Caenorhabditis elegans: one gene and its partner. The protein of the gene in region 2 purifies or fractionates together with the protein of the main gene of each other region. This does not show direct contact. Each region holds a gene or a part of one and is shown on either strand. Other genes may lie near its edges.

Region 1 (6,661 bases), on a different chromosome or scaffold from region 2:
AAAGAGGAGAAAATTGGATTTCCGGTGAGATATTAGAGGTTCTGTTTGGCAAAAAAAAAGGTAAAAACAAGACTAGATTTGGAAGATCCAAGTGCTGGATGGAGTTAATTGAAACGAGAATCAGTAGCTATCCTTAACGATATTAATGCCAGAGAGAAAGGAAAAATCTTTTAATAGATAGCACAATTACATAGGTAAAAGGAATACCCTATCATCTTTTCACTTGAAACATTATTATGATTTGCCTTTCCGCGAGAAGAACAGCGGCGGTTCAATGGAGCGCGCCTGCACTCTTTCGAAAAATTGAGGTTTTTTTGTGGAATTTTTCTTTTTGAATTTTGGATTTGCATAAGATTTGCAGAAAATTTTCATTTATAAATAAATATTGCGGACGAAAACCATTCCAGGCGTGAAACTTTTTCAAAAAATAATACATGCGCCTTTGAAGGAGTACTGTACTTTTTTCTTTTAATTAAAAAAAAATGTTTTTCTGTTTCCTACTTATTTTAAATACAATTTTATTCTGAAATGTCTAGCGAAAACCTAATAAATAAATAAATCGACGAAAACTAAGAAGATTTTTTTAAAACCAATAGGTACAATTTTTTCCTCGAAAATTTCATTTTCTTTCAAAAGTGAGTCAGAAAAACCATAAATTCTGCATTACGAAATTTGAGACAAAAGTCATTTGAGACTCTGAATTCAAAACGCATTTCGAACTGAACTGTGTCTTTAATTTTTCAAATTTTATTCTCATGTAATTTTCATCAAATCCTTTATTTTTCAGCTGGCTTCTTCATCTTCTCAACCAGCTGCCGAACAGGACTGTGTTTCGTGTAAGATCATCGGAACGGCCAGGTAATTCACCTAGAATTTGCACAATTGTTTAAGCTTCATACTTGTAATTTTAGTCTATTCGGCATCGGTTGCTACATAATTTTTGCCACAAGACCAATCGGATACTATGCAACAAGGCCTGTAACTCGACAAATAATTCGATCCTTATCAGCAGGTAATATTTCTTGTTTTAATGATCACGACCAGGTTAAATTGATCTTATTTCAGTTCCATTCTACGCATCAATCGCTCGATTCTTCTATCTACCGCCATTCGAATCAATCGATCCAACGAAAGATGTCAAACATTAATGTAATTTTTTGTTGAATTTTTACTTGTTTTACGTAATAAATGTTGTTTAAGTAGATTCAATTTCAGACAATATACATAATGGGTGTCAGTGGATGCGGTAAAAGTACTGTTGGAAAAGCTCTTTCTGAGAAGCTCAGACGGCCATTCAAAGATGGTGATACTTTCCATTCACCTGAAAATGTAGAGAAAATGAAAGCCGGCACACCACTGAATGATTCTGATAGACTTCCATGGCTTCAAGCTATTAACAACTACGCAAGACTCAATCAAGGATACGTTATCGCTTGTTCTGCGCTTAAAAGACGTTATAGATCCATTCTTTGTGAACATCTTCCCAATGGAGCCAGCGGAAGAGCTGTTTTCATTCTGTTGAATTTAAAAAGGCAAGTAATGTTCAGCGCGCAAAAAAATGTGGTGAAAGAAATGGGCAGAAAAGTGAAAATGGACAACAAACAACTCAAATTCGCACTCGCTTCCGTCCGCTCGTTTTCCCACTTTCACACATTTTCACGCATTCATCGTTTCATTTTTTGCAGGGAAGTTCTTCAGCAACGCGTGAATTCCCGTCCCGGACACTTCATGCCATCTACTTTACTTGATAGTCAGCTGGCTACACTTGAACTTCCGAGTCCCGATGAATCAAATATCGTCACTGTTGATGCGAATAGTGAAAATGTGGATCAAATTGTTGATACAATTGTAAAGACTCTGGCATTGATTTGTGAATGATTCTAGAAATCTAAATAATATAAATAAATTTAATAATTTGTCATAACTGACAAGACAACCAACACAATAAACATTAAACAATAAATAAATACTAAACAAAACAATCTAAAATTAATCCACGTCTCTACTGTGCACGAGATAATTCAAAGGAACCATCGCTTTCTTTTCAGGATCGCGAGAAAGCGACTTCCGCATATCAAAAGCATCTTCGTCCCTATCTCCAGTGTAGTATCCAATAATTTGCCGGTAGACGACATATCCAAGCTTCTTATACAATTCGATGGCGATCTTGTTCGAAACACGAACAAACAGATCGACGAAATATGCTCTACGACTGAAAATTCTTAGATTTTAATAAAATATTAATTTGCCATCACTTACGCTTCAGAAGTACGTTCCAAGAACTCCATCATGTAGGCGGCTAGTCCCAATCGACGAAAATTTGGAGCCACAGAGAGAGCAGTTACATGTCCGTGCCAATTGGTGTCGCGTCCTTCGATTTTTCCCATGACTGAAAAATTAAACTATTTCACATTTATGTTTCATTTATTTTCAAACAAACCATAGGCCATAATTTCCCCGTTTGGATGTTCAGCAACTTGGTAATACTCCGGATAGTTCATCATATAGTGCAGGTAAAATTGGAAGCCATACTGCAAAAATAAATATATTTAAATTTTTTTTATTTACTGAGCAATTTACCGTTTCAGTGTTGATATCCAAGTTCACGTTATTGAACTTGAACATATCCATAACGTCGAATGGCCGGAGAGTTGTCATTTTTACTCGCAGTTCTGCAATATATTGCAATATTGAAGGGTAAATTTAAGTGTTATATTAATCACAAAGAAATTGCATTACTTGAGAGAGTTAACAAATTTTAAATTCGTTATTTGCAAACAAAATGGGAAAATAAATTTGGCGAACGCGGAAAAGAGTTGAAAAAGTGCTAAAACGAGGTGGCACTATTAAAAACGGTTCAAATAAATTTCGTAAAGGGCATAGCGCTGTGTTGTCAGAATTTAAATTATTTTTGCAGCTCGTTGATTTATTTTTAAGCATAAAACAAGCTATTATCAGGCTAATTAAGTTAAAAATTAATAAAAAAGAGTAAAATTCCAAATTAATTTGCAAATTCCTAAAGTACGCAAGTTTAGTGCGCGGTGTTTGCGGACTTGTCCACCGTAGTCCGTTGAAAAATTATCCTCTTTCGTTTTTTGTGTTTCAAAAAATAAATCGGTCAGGCGGTCAGGCGCTCCTCCTGACCGTCATCAAGTACAAACAAAACACTAACAGGAGAAAAAATCAATAAGTGACTAGCAGGGTGAGTATATTGTGTATACCTCTGCTTCTCTCTTCCACTTTTCTCTTTCTTTTAAAGAAATTCCAGTTTTTTTGCTTCCATTTTCACTTTCAAGTACACTATCTAATATACCTCATTTTGTATGCATTCAGGTGACTTGACTACTCGAATGGAAGCGGTTAACTAACAAAATATCAACATCATGCTAGGCTATTTTATGTAAGTTTAAATTTAGGCATTTTTCCACATTTTAAAACTTGATTTATTAAACGAAAATTTAATTTCAGTGTACTTATTCAACCGCTACTACTCTGTATCACAATTCTAGTCCTCTCAATTGTCATCTTCCTTCCAATACTGGTATATTTTCTTCCACGCTACACACAGTTCATCTTCTTTCTCAATTTCCGTTAGTTTTTCTTTTTTATCTTATCTTTTATCTTTGATCTATGTTACCTTGTTAAGGACGTCTGCCGAACACCGATTACAATGATTTGGCGTCGAACAACGTTAAATCAATCGGAAGATCTCTTCATTTGCCTGGAAAAAGTGGAAGGATTGGTGTTTGGCACATTCTGCCCAACAAATTGAGTTTAGAATGGAGAACAGAAGGAAAACATCCGACAGAGAGAGATTTTGACGATATGATGAGGGATTCAGAGAATCAGTAGGATTTTCAAAGAATGAATTCAAAAAAAATCAATAAATTTCAGAATTATCTTCTACGCTCATGGAAACTCGTTCGATCGCACATTCTACCATCGTGTGGAAATGTACAATTTGCTCAGTGATTGTAATTATCATGTCGTCTGTTTCGATTATCGAGGATATGGAGATTCAGAAGGAACACCAACCGAAAAAGGAATTGTTGAAGATACAAAAACAGTATACGAATGGCTGAAGGAGAATTGCGGGAAGACGCCTGTTATTGTATGGGGTCATTCGATGGGAACTGGGTGAGTTAAATTTATTATTTCACTGCAATCAGAAATTTTTAAACTCAATTTTTAAAGTACTGAGGATAATGCAAAAAAAAAATGCTGACTGATTTTGATATCAAAAAATACAAATTTAAGATGGCTTTTTTGAGCATAGCTCTAGTTCACCAAAATTAATAACATTTTTTCTTGAAAAATCGGGTTTCAAGAAATTAAAAACAGCTTCATATGTTGCAGGTGTAAATCAAAATTCGAAACTTCCATATTCAAAATTCGGAAATGTTTCGTTTTTTCCGAAAAATTGCTTCAAGTTTTGGCCATTTTTCTTTTTGTTAAAAAAAATTTAAACATTTCCAAATTTTTTTTATCATCGACATACACAAAAAAATTTTTTAATTGATTTTTTTTTGTTATATCAAACATTTTTTTCAGTTTTCTCTGAAAAAATGAAAATTTTTCGATGACACCCTTGATACTAATAGAGAAACTACGATACATCTAAAATACTGTTCAATTCAATTTTCAGTGTCTCCTGCAAGTTGGTGCAAGATCTTTCAAGAGAACAGCAACCACCGTGCGGTTTAATCCTCGAATCGCCATTCAACAATTTGAAGGATGCCGTAACAAATCATCCGATCTTCACAGTGTTTAGCTGGATGAATGACTTCATGGTAGATCACATCATCATTCGACCGCTCAACAGTGTCGGCCTCACTATGCGTTCTGACAAACGCATCAGATTGTAAGAAGAAATATGCAGATAACGACCAAAAAAACCTACCGATTTTCAGAGTATCGTGTCCAATAATCATCCTCCACGCCGAGGACGACAAAATTCTTCCTGTGAAGCTGGGAAGAGCGTTGTACGAAGCGGCAAAAGATGCCGAGAGGGATATCAAAATTCGAGAGTTTTCATCAGATTATGGTCTTGGTCATAAATTCATTTGTCGATATCCTGAGCTTCCCGAAATTATCGAAGAATTCGTCGGGAGTGTCACTCCGCCATCCACGTTAATCGCATCATCATAAACATGTCACTGCATTTTTTTGAGTTTATAAAAATTTAGATTATTTCCAATTTTCGTATTACAATTTATCCAATTTGACATGATCCATCATGTTCTCTTAAGGTTCTAGTAATACACACATAATTGCTCATAGGGTCCGGAAACCACCTCTCCCTTTTCTTTTTTTCCGCTCCACATGGCCACTAGTTTTTTCCACTAGCTTTCATTCTTCTGCGTCTTTCAACTTACCTTTTTTTTACTATTATTCGGAAAACTACATCTCAAAATGATACAAAATGTTACGGATGGGATGGCCAATATACTTCAAACTTGTTAGTTTTTTATCGTAAAAATACCAAATGAAAGGCCCCACTTGTATTTTTAAAAAACACTTTTCCACTGTTCATAGTTTTTGAGAAAAAAATATTTGACCGCATTTTATAGAGCGAGAGCATTTGATAATTTTTCTTTAAATTTAAAAAATTTGAAATAGTCTCTCAAATTCAGAAATTCCACAAAAGAAAAACGAAAAATCGCGAATATGAATGAAAACTCCTACTTAAAAAAACTTCAATTTTGGCTAAATTTCATTTTTGAATTCCCTCCAAAATGAGAAACCACGCCCACTTTCGAACCACTCATCATCTTCGAACTCGAACAAAGCACACTCCGTCTGATTGGTTCAAAAGTGGGCGGAGCTAATTACTGATTATGCAAAATATATAATTTTGTAAAATTTTACATTTTGTAGATGCCAAAATGACAGAGATCGCGGCGAGACCCACTGGGAAATACCTTTAAAATACCTGTGCCATAATTTTTCAATCGTATTTAAAGAACAATTATCCGCGAAACTTCCTAAGAAATTTCAGCAGAAAAAGTTCGTGGCTGGAAATTGGTTCAAAAAACGGTTCCGCGAATAATCGAATATGGTCGATCAGAGGGTATTCTACAAGTTAATGTTCAATCAAATGCATTTAATATATCTGGAATAGTAATAGCTGCACAAGAAGAAGCTCACACTCAAAAAGAACCGAAATCGGGTGACAAAGTATGTCAGATGACAACTTTATTACATATATTGATCATTTTTTCAAGGTCAACTTGCCAACAAATGATATAACCACAATGCATGAGGCAATACCATTTCTTCCTGTTCCAGTTGCAATTACATGCTTATTATTCAATATTTTCATACCCGGTTCTGGTAAGTTTCAGATATAGAATATCCCAAAATTTTGGACAGTTCTGAAAAAGGTCTCTTTTGGAAAGTACTGTTCTTGAAACTTTGAGAATCGTTTTGAAAAGTTAAAAGACCGTCAGAAATATTCTGATACGTTCTAGATGTAATAGAAATATCACCTTTTTTCGAGTTCAAGATATCTGCGAGATTCAAAAGCGTTTTGGAACTACAACCTAAAAAACGAAATGTAGTTAGAAACTAAGGCTTCCATAAGAGAGCGGCGCGGCGTCGGCGCTTCACGCCGACCGGCCTTTGCCTTGGCCGCTCGCCGCTTTTAAAAGTTTTGACGTGA
Region 2 (10,395 bases):
TTTGGCTAAGAATTTGTTTATCAATTTGAATTCCAGAATTGATTGTCTGCATGATTTCAGTTCGTAGTGTAATGAAATAAATTGAAGGAAGATCTGAGACTATTTCTTCTAATGGATATTGTCCTTGCATATTCGCAAGAACTTGCATTACTTGTGATAGACGTCTGAAATAAATTGTATTTTGTATTTATTTTTCGCCACAAAAGTTTATAGAATTTTTCTTAAATTTTTATGATTTTTTTTTAAATTTTGCAGCAAAAATAAATTGGAACGTTCCGAATTATCTTTGAAATCCCGCGCAATTGAATGATTTTCAAGATTTTGCAGACATTTTCCCGAAAAAATATTAAATTAATTTTTATCGAATTTATCGAACTTTTGACAAGGATTATCGAGTTTTTTACGGAAAAATGAATAAAAATTTGACAGATTAAATCAAACATTTCCCTGCAAAACAATTTTTTTTGTTGTAAAATCCAGAAAAAAATCTAAAATTTTTTAGACAGTTATATTAGGTACTGCTTTCCGACATTTATTGCAAAATATTCCAAAAAACTCACATTACAAGCTCCGAATCTCCCCCTTGAGCTGCACACTCGACAAGTGTTGGCACAGAGTTTTCAGAGACACTACACGTGGCAGCCACCAGTGTCGCAATTTCTTCACTCGATGCATCCGCACCTAGTTCTTCTTCAATTTTACCGGAAACGTTGAAACAAATGTATTGACAAATGCTAATGATAAGGGTGGAATTTCGATGGAATTCGTCGTTTTCCGCAATAATATCCAGAATGCTCGCGAGAGCAGTGCTGCAAATATTAAATGTTTAATGATCTTTTAAAATTTAATATTTTTCTGCACAAACCAATCCTGAACTACTGCTCCAAGGACGTCTGATAATACATGAGTCCATTGATCAAGAGCCATTCCAGGTAATCTTAACCATTGTTCAACACATTCCACAGCTGCTTGTTTTGTGATTGAAGAGGTGTCACCGCCGCGAAGTACGACTGCTAGTACGCTTATTATATTCTGAAATTATTTTTTTTATTGTTATAAAACTAATGGTTGATTTATTATTAGATCGCAGAAAAATGCACTCAAAAAAATAATTTTTTAAAGCATTTTTCGCCTTTTTCGTGGTTTTTCCCGATGTTTTTCATGATTTTTGTGTAGAAATTGCGTAAAAACGCATGAAAAGTTGAAAAAAGAATAAGATAGGTTCATTTTAATATTTGTGATCTTTTTTTCATGAGTTTCGATTTAAAATCATGAGAAAAAAAGTGAAAAAATGCTTGAAAACGTTTGAATCTACGGTTTTGGCGCCAAATACCTAACGAGACCCGAAATTTCAGCCATTTTGCCTTTTTTTAAGAAGAAAATTATATTTTTCGGCTCATGTTTTTTCTTTTCAATATTTATTTTTAAAAATATTGGAAAAAGAAATTGCATTTTTCTGTTAATTTTCTAAATTTTTTTTTCAATTTTTCGGTCTTCTAAAATTCGGAAAAATTTCGTTTTTCGATTTTTTTTTCTGGAAAAAACCTCGGAGAATTTGTGCAATTCGCCTTTCAGTTTACTCCTCTGTGTCAATGGCATTGTGACATGCGAAAACTCAGCTGCCATATCGGAAAGTACTCTGCAATCTTGATACAATCAATTTTAAATCCATAGAATTATCTCACTTTAACAATATTTCGGGAGATCCTGCGAGTGTCGGTGTCAGATCTTGAACAGGCGTCGGCCAGAGATCAGGTACACAGTATAGAGAAAAGAGAGCAAGTGCAGCAGAAAGCTTATTCAAAACTGATGTTGTTTGAGCATAGGCTCCAGATTTTAAGCTATCAATCAGAAATGTTTTCAAGCTTAATTGCTGTAAATATAAAATAATTAATTTTTTCTCAAAATCGAGATTTTATTCTAACCACTGCCTCATTTGCAATACACTCTTCACTTCGTACTCGAATCACATCGTAAAGAGCCACTGCACCGAAATATCTGACAATTGATGAGCTTGTAGGTTGACTGATAATTCTCATACATGCTCCAACTGTTTGCATACATTCATAGTCTGAAGAAATTCAAAATTATTTCCAAAAGCCCGGAATACTCTTAAATTCAGAAAATGTTGGTCTAAATTCCCTCCAAAAAGAGAACTACAAGACCAATCAGTGATTTTGGAGGGAATTCAAAAATGAATTTTAATCAAAAAATTGGATTGTTCATTTTAATTCGATTTTTTTCGGATTTTAAGACTAAATTTTCAAAAGAAAAATCCCTAACCAGTCTTGAATCGACATAAAATCGCATCAATTTCATGTCTTCTGTGCTCATCTGTTGTTGTGTAAAATTCATTGATTGTGGCTATTAGTAGATCAGAATCTAGAGAAACTACGGCCATTCGACCTGGAAACTATCCTGAAATATATTTTATTTTGTTTAAGGTGCGAAAATTTATGACTTTTGCGCCCAAAATACGGTGCCTGGTCTCGACACGGTCGGAATTTTTATTAAAATTTATTTAAAGGCTTGCGCCTTTAAAAAGTACGGTAATTTTGAAACTACAGTAATGTTTAAAGGCGCATATCTTTCCAATTTTAACCAAAAAAAGTCGTGTCGAGATCAGTATCGTATTTTTAATGCAAAAATCGAAAAATTCCGCGTCTGGAACATGGAATTCGTCAGAAAATATGCATAAAATACGAGATTTTTCAAACAAAAGCACAGATATTAAAAACGGTATCGAACCGATAAAATCAAAAAATAATTCTTAAAATAAATTCACTTTTAACAAAACTTTAATATGAAAAAGAAAGTATTTCCATAAGAACGAAACAATTGATGCGAAAAATACCAAGAAATGAGAAAAGAGAACGACAAGTCTTGTGAATGAGATTTTGGAAATTGGGGGGCGGGGGGCGGTGGGAATTAATTTTAATAAAATATTCCGCATATGAAGAAAAATGTTAAAAATGAAAATCAGAACAAAAAAAGGAAAAAAAGAAACAAAAATCGCTTACAACTCAATAAAGCCTCTAGAAAATTATATAAACTGATAAATAATCTCAGAATATTTTTGTCATGACAATAAACATTGATATTAGAACCGTATTCTTCTGTGATATCCTCTTTCAGTGTCCTCTTGATTTTGACGCAGTGCTGCTTCAATTTCTTCGAGACATAATTGAGCGTGTAAACGGACAGTCTCATCACGATCCGTTCGATGAAGTTGACGAATTTCGCGGTGAAGATCGAGAAGATGTTCTCGGAGAATCTGAATTTTATAAAATTTTGAAATTTTTATGGAAAATTATTTTTTTGTTAATGAGAAAAGCGTTAAAAATGACCCCAAACGTCACACTGGAAAGTTTTAAAAAATTTCCAGAAATTGAAAAATTTTGAGCCTTTAGGAAAATTTATAAAAAATATTATTGTGTAAATAATTCGGGTCATTTTTAACGTTTTTTGGTTTGTTTTTTTTAGATTAAAATTTCTCCGAGTATGAAATTCGCTTAGCCGTTTTGATTTCTGTTTCAGCGAAAAAAAACCACTCACAGCCAGCATATCTCTACCAGTTGATTGTAAGCTATGACGAATGAGATCAGCAGCCGAACGTCTAACAAGTGGCGATCGATCGACTCGAATAATATTGACAATTTTATGGAACACCTGTCCCAACCATTTCTCGGATCCTCGTCCACGAGTAGCAATCATAAGATTTCCAAAAGCTCCACAACTGCTGGCACGAAGAATCTCTTCTGGTTCATCGATTCCTTTCATGAAAAGTGTGGCGAGTCGATCGAAATAGGTGACAGAAATCTCTCCACGTGCGAGCAAAAGTTTTCCAATCGCTTCAGCGACTCTTCCAACACGAATGATCATTTTAGTGTCTTTCTGAGGTTGATTTGACATCTCTTCATAATATTCAATTGTATCCTCAAACATGTTCTTATTGTAAAGTCCCATTTCACAGAGACAATTGATTGCAGACAAATATACGTATGAATCATCATCGGCGACCATATCTGAAAGAAATAGAGAAAATAATTATTTATTTCGACACTGAAATCGAATATACCTTTGACAGCATCAAATACTCCATATTCGAACAACCTCTGACAGTGATACGTTCTGTTTCGGAATACTCTAGCAATTTGCATTAATGCTCCTCCTTTGATAGCTGGCTCATCGTCATGAAGCTCTTCAATCCACTCATTACAAACGTCAACTTGTTGATTATATCGTTGGCGATCGGTTCTTTGTGGCAGAGTTGGTGCGTTGACTTGATTCACGTCTGGAAAAAATATGCAAAAATGTTTCTCTTTTCAAAAAATCAGAGGCAGAAATTATTTGACCTACCAATTTTGAGATCTCTGAGCAGTTTCTTAGCTTCGTCAACAGCTAAATTAAAAGAAACATCTTCGGATGGAAAAGCGTCAGCAGCTTTTGTAAAGTTTGCCATGGCTTCCATGGATCTGATATGAACATCGTGCATTCGAGTTGTTGTTTGAGTCAGCATGAATACTGTGCTGATCATTGGAAGACACATTTTTGCAGAGTCTCGGCTGCACTGAAATGGAAAAAAATTAGCAATGGTTTTAGAAGGAATACGGAATTTTGCGATTTTCACTCCTGTTCTTGAAGCGGCCGATTTTCTTAAATTTGATTGTTTTTGCATTATTTTTGTACTGGGTTCCTCCCGTTTCTTCAAAATTTGATTCATTTTTATATCTTTTTATATGTTTAAACAATTGCCGATTTGCCAGAATTTTTCATTTTCGGCAAATTGCCGATTTGCCGTAAATGTTCTTAAAAAATGTGCAAAACCGATTTTCCGGCGAATTCGGCAATTTACCCGTTTGCCGGAAATTTTCGATTCCGGAAATTTTCAATTTTCAATTCCGGCAATCTTCTGATTCTCGTTTGTTGCCCCTTTGCTACAGTACTCCTCAAAGGTCTGAAGAATTTATAGAAAATCGTTCGCTTCGAGACCTTTCAAGGTGAAAATCTTAAAATCTCGTATCTGGACAATATTTACCTCAAATTCTTTCTTCTCTGTCGGCGTCATTCGAAAAACATCGACATTTCGTTTTCTATTCGCCATACGCATAAATTTTCCAGTACAATTGTTAAGGATGGACTGAAAATATTTAATTTATTTAAATATCTCAAATTTTAGCGAAAATGCCAACCTCGGCAATTCTCAACAATTGAACACATTCTTCCTGTGAGAAACCAGAATCTTGAGCCAAATTTATGATTCTCTCAAAACATGCTCCGACGACAAGATGCGCATGGGATGATGAGAACAACTTTGCTCCGTCCAATTGTACAAATCTAGCTTGATCATCTTCTCGCTCTTTCTCGGAAACTTTCAAAAAGTCATCCAACGCCATATTCATCATCTCTAGAATTGGGCGAATTTGTGCCGATGTCAGAACATTGTCGATGACGAAAAATGCGGTTTCAAGGCGACGAGCTACACCTTCATCAGTACTTTCAATTCCGTGAAGCCACATTTCATCGAACGGAGTGTCTGAAATTAGAGGAGACTTTAATAGAAAACTGGCTCAATTGTCAGAAATTTGGATTTTCCGGTAATTTCCAACTCTCAGATAATTTTTGAGCGTTTTTTTTTTCAAAAAAATAAAAACCAACCATTTCCATTGCTATCTCCACCAATTTCCTGAATTTTCGATGACGTTACAAATTTCTTTTCCAAAGCAACACGATGTGATGGTGTCATTACAAATTGATAAATTATGTATCCAATACTCAAAACACTATCCAACGCCGATTTTAAAATATCTTTAATATATGGAATTTGTTCCACGCAAGCGAATAAACATGTAGACAGCGCACGAGTTCTCTTCACATCAGCCGACAGTTGCAGCTGTGACAGAAGTTGAAGATTTCTGATGAAATTCGGTGAATAGTTCTCCACTTTCTCCGAATGCATGACCGTTTTATCCTGAATTTTCTTGTCCAGCACCTCCCAGAAGTTCAGAATTTTGTCGAAAACCGTAAGATTTGCGTTGAGAGCAAAACGAGTGTGAAGCTCTTCGACATAGTTGATGAACACGTTCAGAGTATTTTGCTCGGGGATTTTCTGGCTCCACAAGAGTTCGAAGAATTGATTCGAGATAATCTCATGATAGTTCAATGGGTGTCTGAACATTTTTGGAACAGTTGCCAAATGCCAGGAAACTTGTTTTGTCAATGGTAGATTGTCGGTCCATGTATCTCCAGCTGAAAATAATTGGAATGATTTTTGTGATTTAAAATTTCGAAAAAATTGGCTTGAAATCTCCAATTTTACCAGTTTAGCGGTTATTTAGGCACATTTGTCCCCTATTCAGCGTATAAACAACCCAAAAACTGGGAATAATCAATTAAAAATCAATTTCTAACAGTTGCGGCATAAAATTGGATATTTTAGCTAATATGTCTTTTAGAGGAATCGTTACGAAATTCGGGTCATTATGAAAAATTATTGATTAAAATCAATATTTTTTGATTTCATTTGGTAATTTCCATCACAAAATGCAGAAAGTCTCACCGCGTTCACGATAATACTGCAAAAGATACGACAATCCATCTTTTCCGACAAGAATCTTTGTCATCTGTTTGCCACAAGCAACTTTCAACCACATCGGCGTCTTTGCTGTCTTCTTATCCTGCGTCAGAAACATCAAAGATCCGAAAAGAACGTCAATTTGGAGTTTTGAGACCAGCTCAGCGAAGTTCAACTCGTATTTATCGATTTTCAGCTGAAGAAGCTGGAAACGAACGGCGAGCACATCGTCGATGAATTTTGTCAAGAATTGACCGATGAGAGATTCATTGCTTTCCAGAAGATTTATGATCACTTTTGCAGCAAACTCAAGCTTTTCAATACACGTTTCTTTGTTTCCATCGTATAGTTTCCACGATTTGATGAATGTACTGCGTGAGGCTGCTCCGAGTCCGGCACCGGGCTCCATAAATGGCAAGATACCGGTGAGCAAGAAGAATTCGAATGATTTTCTCACAAGTGTGACATCTTGAAGTGACAAAAGCTGGTATTCGTCGGAGCAGTTCGCACGTTCTGATTTGAGCAAATTCGCAAGATCAAGATAAAGACCTCCGAGAATTTGAGAATAGTAAATTCTGACATCGGCATTGACAGTTCTAACATCATCAGAAGTAGATGGAATTGAATCTTCGTTTGGTGTGTCTACATACTTTTCAAACAGATCCTGAATACTTAATATAGAGAATTTTTAATTTAGAAAAAACCTCACCTTCGGGCATTTCTTCACCAGTAGCTCAAACGGATCATTTTTCCATGTTTCTGCTGAAAAAATATGTTCATTCACGCGACGCAATTAAAGAAATAATAAAATTTTATCTCGAATTACATTGCAAATCTTATTTAAATATAAATTTATAGATTTTTTTTCGACATAAATCGTGTCGGAGCAATAAAAGGCCACAACAAGGAGATAATTATTGAAATTTACATACCTGGAGGAGTTATCAGTTCGGATATCATATGAATAAGCTCATTTTTGGTCAGCATTGTGCTGAGCAAGCTGAAAATCAATAAGAGTGTTCAAAACTGCGGCAAGAAAATGTTGTCCGAGTGGAGTACACGCGCCACTTCTAGGCCACGGCCACCTCGGCCAGGCTTGATTTTTTTTTCGTTGTTTCGAGGCGTTTAATTTATAAATGAATGTTTATATTTATTTCTGAACATGAGTCATACAAATTTAACACAGATAAGAATTTCATTGATGAATCAATATTCTTCGAGACCATGTTAATAGTTTTGGATGCCTCACACTTCCCGATTTGGATTTTAAAAAAGTATTTCTTTTGTGAGAAAATGTCCGTTTCTGAGACAAATAGAAAAAAAAAAGATTTTTCGTAAAAGGGAAACCGATTCGAACGGGTAGGAAAACAAATGTTTTCGATAAATTTCGGTGCAATGTGAAATTGGACAAGGAGAAAATCAATTAATACATGTGTTTTAAAAAAATAGTGAGAATAATTAGGCAACACGGCGGAGAGTTGGTGCAGCTTTGAAACGGCGGTTGTTTTGTCTGATGACATGAACCAGAAGAATCTGATTCAGGAAGTGGATGCTGAAAATAGTTATAGTAAGATTAGGATGACGCGGAAGATGCACGTGAGCCCGTACCAATCATATAAGCAACTGAGAAGAGAAAAGTGGCCGTTCCTGTGACAGTTTCATTATGGAATCTGTTCTGATCATCCAAAAGGTTTCAATAATTAATGGTGTCGATTACTTCAACCTACCGTGAAAAATACAGACATGCGGCATCCGAAAACTGTTCTTGACAAAGATCCGATCACTGGAATGCTGTGGAACACGAGCAGGATTTGCAGGATTCTTGGGATTGTGTATCCGAAGGTTTCCCACAATAGATTTGGATACATGTAGTTGATCGCGTAGACAGCAATACATTCCAATAGGTGAGCATAGATAGCGAGGTACAGAATATCACAGATTAGGCGGAAAGTGCTGCGATGCTGGTAATGAAGTCCGAAGAAGAGAGGGAAGGTGTTGGTGCGGGCTCTGTAGACAGGATTGGTCTTGACTGGCATTTGAATCTTGATCTCCTTTTGAGCATCTGGAGGTTTGCTCGCCAAGATCTTCGAGGGGATGGTCATGATGCTTTTGTTGCTGAAAAACATACATATTAAGATTTAAGATTGGAGCAATTTTCGTTGCAAGAATACGGTTCCCGGTCTCGACACGACAATTTTTGTGAATCTCAAAAAGAGTGTGTGCCTTTAAAGATTACTATAATTTAAAACCACTCTGCAAAATTTCCACTAATTGGCGTGACCTGAACTTGCATGCGCGTTTAGGTTAGAAACTACAGTATTCTTTATGGCATAGTCGTGGCGAGACCCGGTACCGTATTTTTCTAGGAGATATCGCAACACTTCGAGTATTAAATGCAAGGCTTTGCGGTGGCTCTCAGTATATGCAGAGGGGGAATACGGTAATTATAACGATCTCAAAATAAATATTTGAAAATAAAAGTACAGACTTCAAAACATCTGAACCAAAGGCGAGTGTCAAAGGCAGAAAGTGAATGTCTGTTCAACAACCAAGGCGCCATGACCCCTTACTCCAGGCTCCACCCACTTGGCCCTCTGGACACACCCCCATTTAGAGAGAGATCATGGAAAAGTGAGAGACTGACAATGAAATACTGTTGCAAAGAGAGAGAAACTGGATGTGTAGAGTGATCAAGACAATCACGGAGCTATGACTAACTAGGTGAAGTTAAAAAAGGAGTATTGGTAGTTGAGAATCGGAAAATTGCCGGTTTGCCGAAAATGTTAATTTCCGGCAATTTCCGATTTGCCGGAAATTTTGATTTTCGGCAATTGCCGATTTGCCGTTTGCCGAACAACAATTCGCCGGAAGTTTTTAGAGGGATTTTTTATAAGACGGAAACACTTAAAACTGGGCCTTTTGACTTTTTTTTTTCATTTTTTAAAAATATATTTTCATAGAATTTGCTAATTTTTCAAAATAGATGTAGGAACATTCATAGGATGCGTACAATTTTGCCGATTAAAATTGAAAATCTGAAATTTCCAAAAAAAAAGTATGCAAAGGCACAGTTTCCCGAAAATTTCAAAGCAGTCTGCCGATTTGCCGGAAATTTTGATTCTGGCAACTTGCCGATTTTCCGGAAGTTTTCAATTCCGGCATTTTGCCAATTGAATTGGGAATAGTTATTTCCTGTCGAAAGTTACAGTGGTTGAGTTGTAAATCTAATCGAATCTTGACAATGTTTTCAATTTTTATTTTCAAAAGGTTCCTCTCCCTTTTCAAACATAGCCGCAGACACTAGATAACATACAAAACAGCTGCATTTCTGTACAGTTGGCACCTGTTTTCCGTACCCTCAAAAGACACATAGAATGGGTTATCGAAGTGTCTAGATTCGAAAGTATAGCTGAGCAAATAACTTGTTCTGAAGACAATTTTATTACGATTTTGGAAAAATTGAGCAAAAAAAGGTGTAGGGAAAAGGAAATTTCAAAAATACATAAGTTTCAGTGGAAAATTTTAAATTTCAAGAGTAAAACAGCAGTAAAACAATCAGACAACATTGAATGCATTCATTTCCACAGGAGCATCTTTTTTTTCAGATTTGATCACACGAATCACGCTCCGCGCCAAGAACATTTGAATTGCATAAACTGAAAATATTTCTTTCCTATAGAATCTAGTCTCATTCATGAGCTCAAAAACTCACACCCGGCATCCAAAATCAAAGTGAGCTCAAAGAGAATACAGTAACCAAGGCGTTGAATAAATTCCATTTCATGAGTGTCACCATGTTCCATAACCAATCGAATCTGTTC

Evidence for each region.
Region 1: the proteins of ekl-6 (region 2) and natb-1 fractionate together in Caenorhabditis elegans (co-fractionation; one large-scale study listed by BioGRID). This does not show direct contact.

What each region holds. Positions count from the first base shown.
Region 1 is NC_003283.11:7,980,760-7,987,420, forward strand, and holds natb-1 (N-alpha-acetyltransferase 20), read right to left. Parts: upstream 2,673-6,661; 5' UTR 2,659-2,672; coding exon 2,581-2,658; intron 2,532-2,580; coding exon 2,441-2,531; intron 2,390-2,440; coding exon 2,260-2,389; intron 2,213-2,259; coding exon 1,990-2,212; 3' UTR 1,898-1,989; downstream 1-1,897. Other genes in the region: F26D11.1 (Gluconokinase), read left to right, coding at 1,135-1,149, 1,216-1,532, 1,686-1,878; abhd-12 (Serine aminopeptidase S33 domain-containing protein), read left to right, coding at 3,384-3,400, 3,469-3,590, 3,647-3,848, 3,895-4,137, 4,646-4,861, 4,911-5,148; Y97E10AL.1 (Protein stum homolog), read left to right, coding at 5,413-5,458, 5,999-6,177, 6,225-6,333.
Region 2 is NC_003281.10:10,061,589-10,071,983, reverse strand, and holds ekl-6 (RTP1_C1 domain-containing protein), read right to left. Parts: upstream 7,580-10,395; 5' UTR 7,562-7,579; coding exon 7,507-7,561; intron 7,337-7,506; coding exon 7,284-7,336; intron 7,239-7,283; coding exon 6,560-7,238; intron 6,250-6,559; coding exon 5,659-6,249; intron 5,537-5,658; coding exon 5,193-5,536; intron 5,141-5,192; coding exon 5,039-5,140; intron 4,571-5,038; coding exon 4,360-4,570; intron 4,295-4,359; coding exon 4,079-4,294; intron 4,026-4,078; coding exon 3,556-4,025; intron 3,275-3,555; coding exon 3,101-3,274; 3' UTR 2,783-3,100; downstream 1-2,782. Other genes in the region: T16G12.6 (Exportin-T), read right to left, coding at 1-164, 561-809, 866-1,032, 1,546-1,639, 1,686-1,873, 1,926-2,071, 2,284-2,401; T16G12.12 (Serpentine receptor class gamma), read right to left, coding at 8,113-8,126, 8,183-8,249, 8,302-8,676; T16G12.13 (uncharacterized protein), read right to left, coding at 10,130-10,230, 10,287-10,395.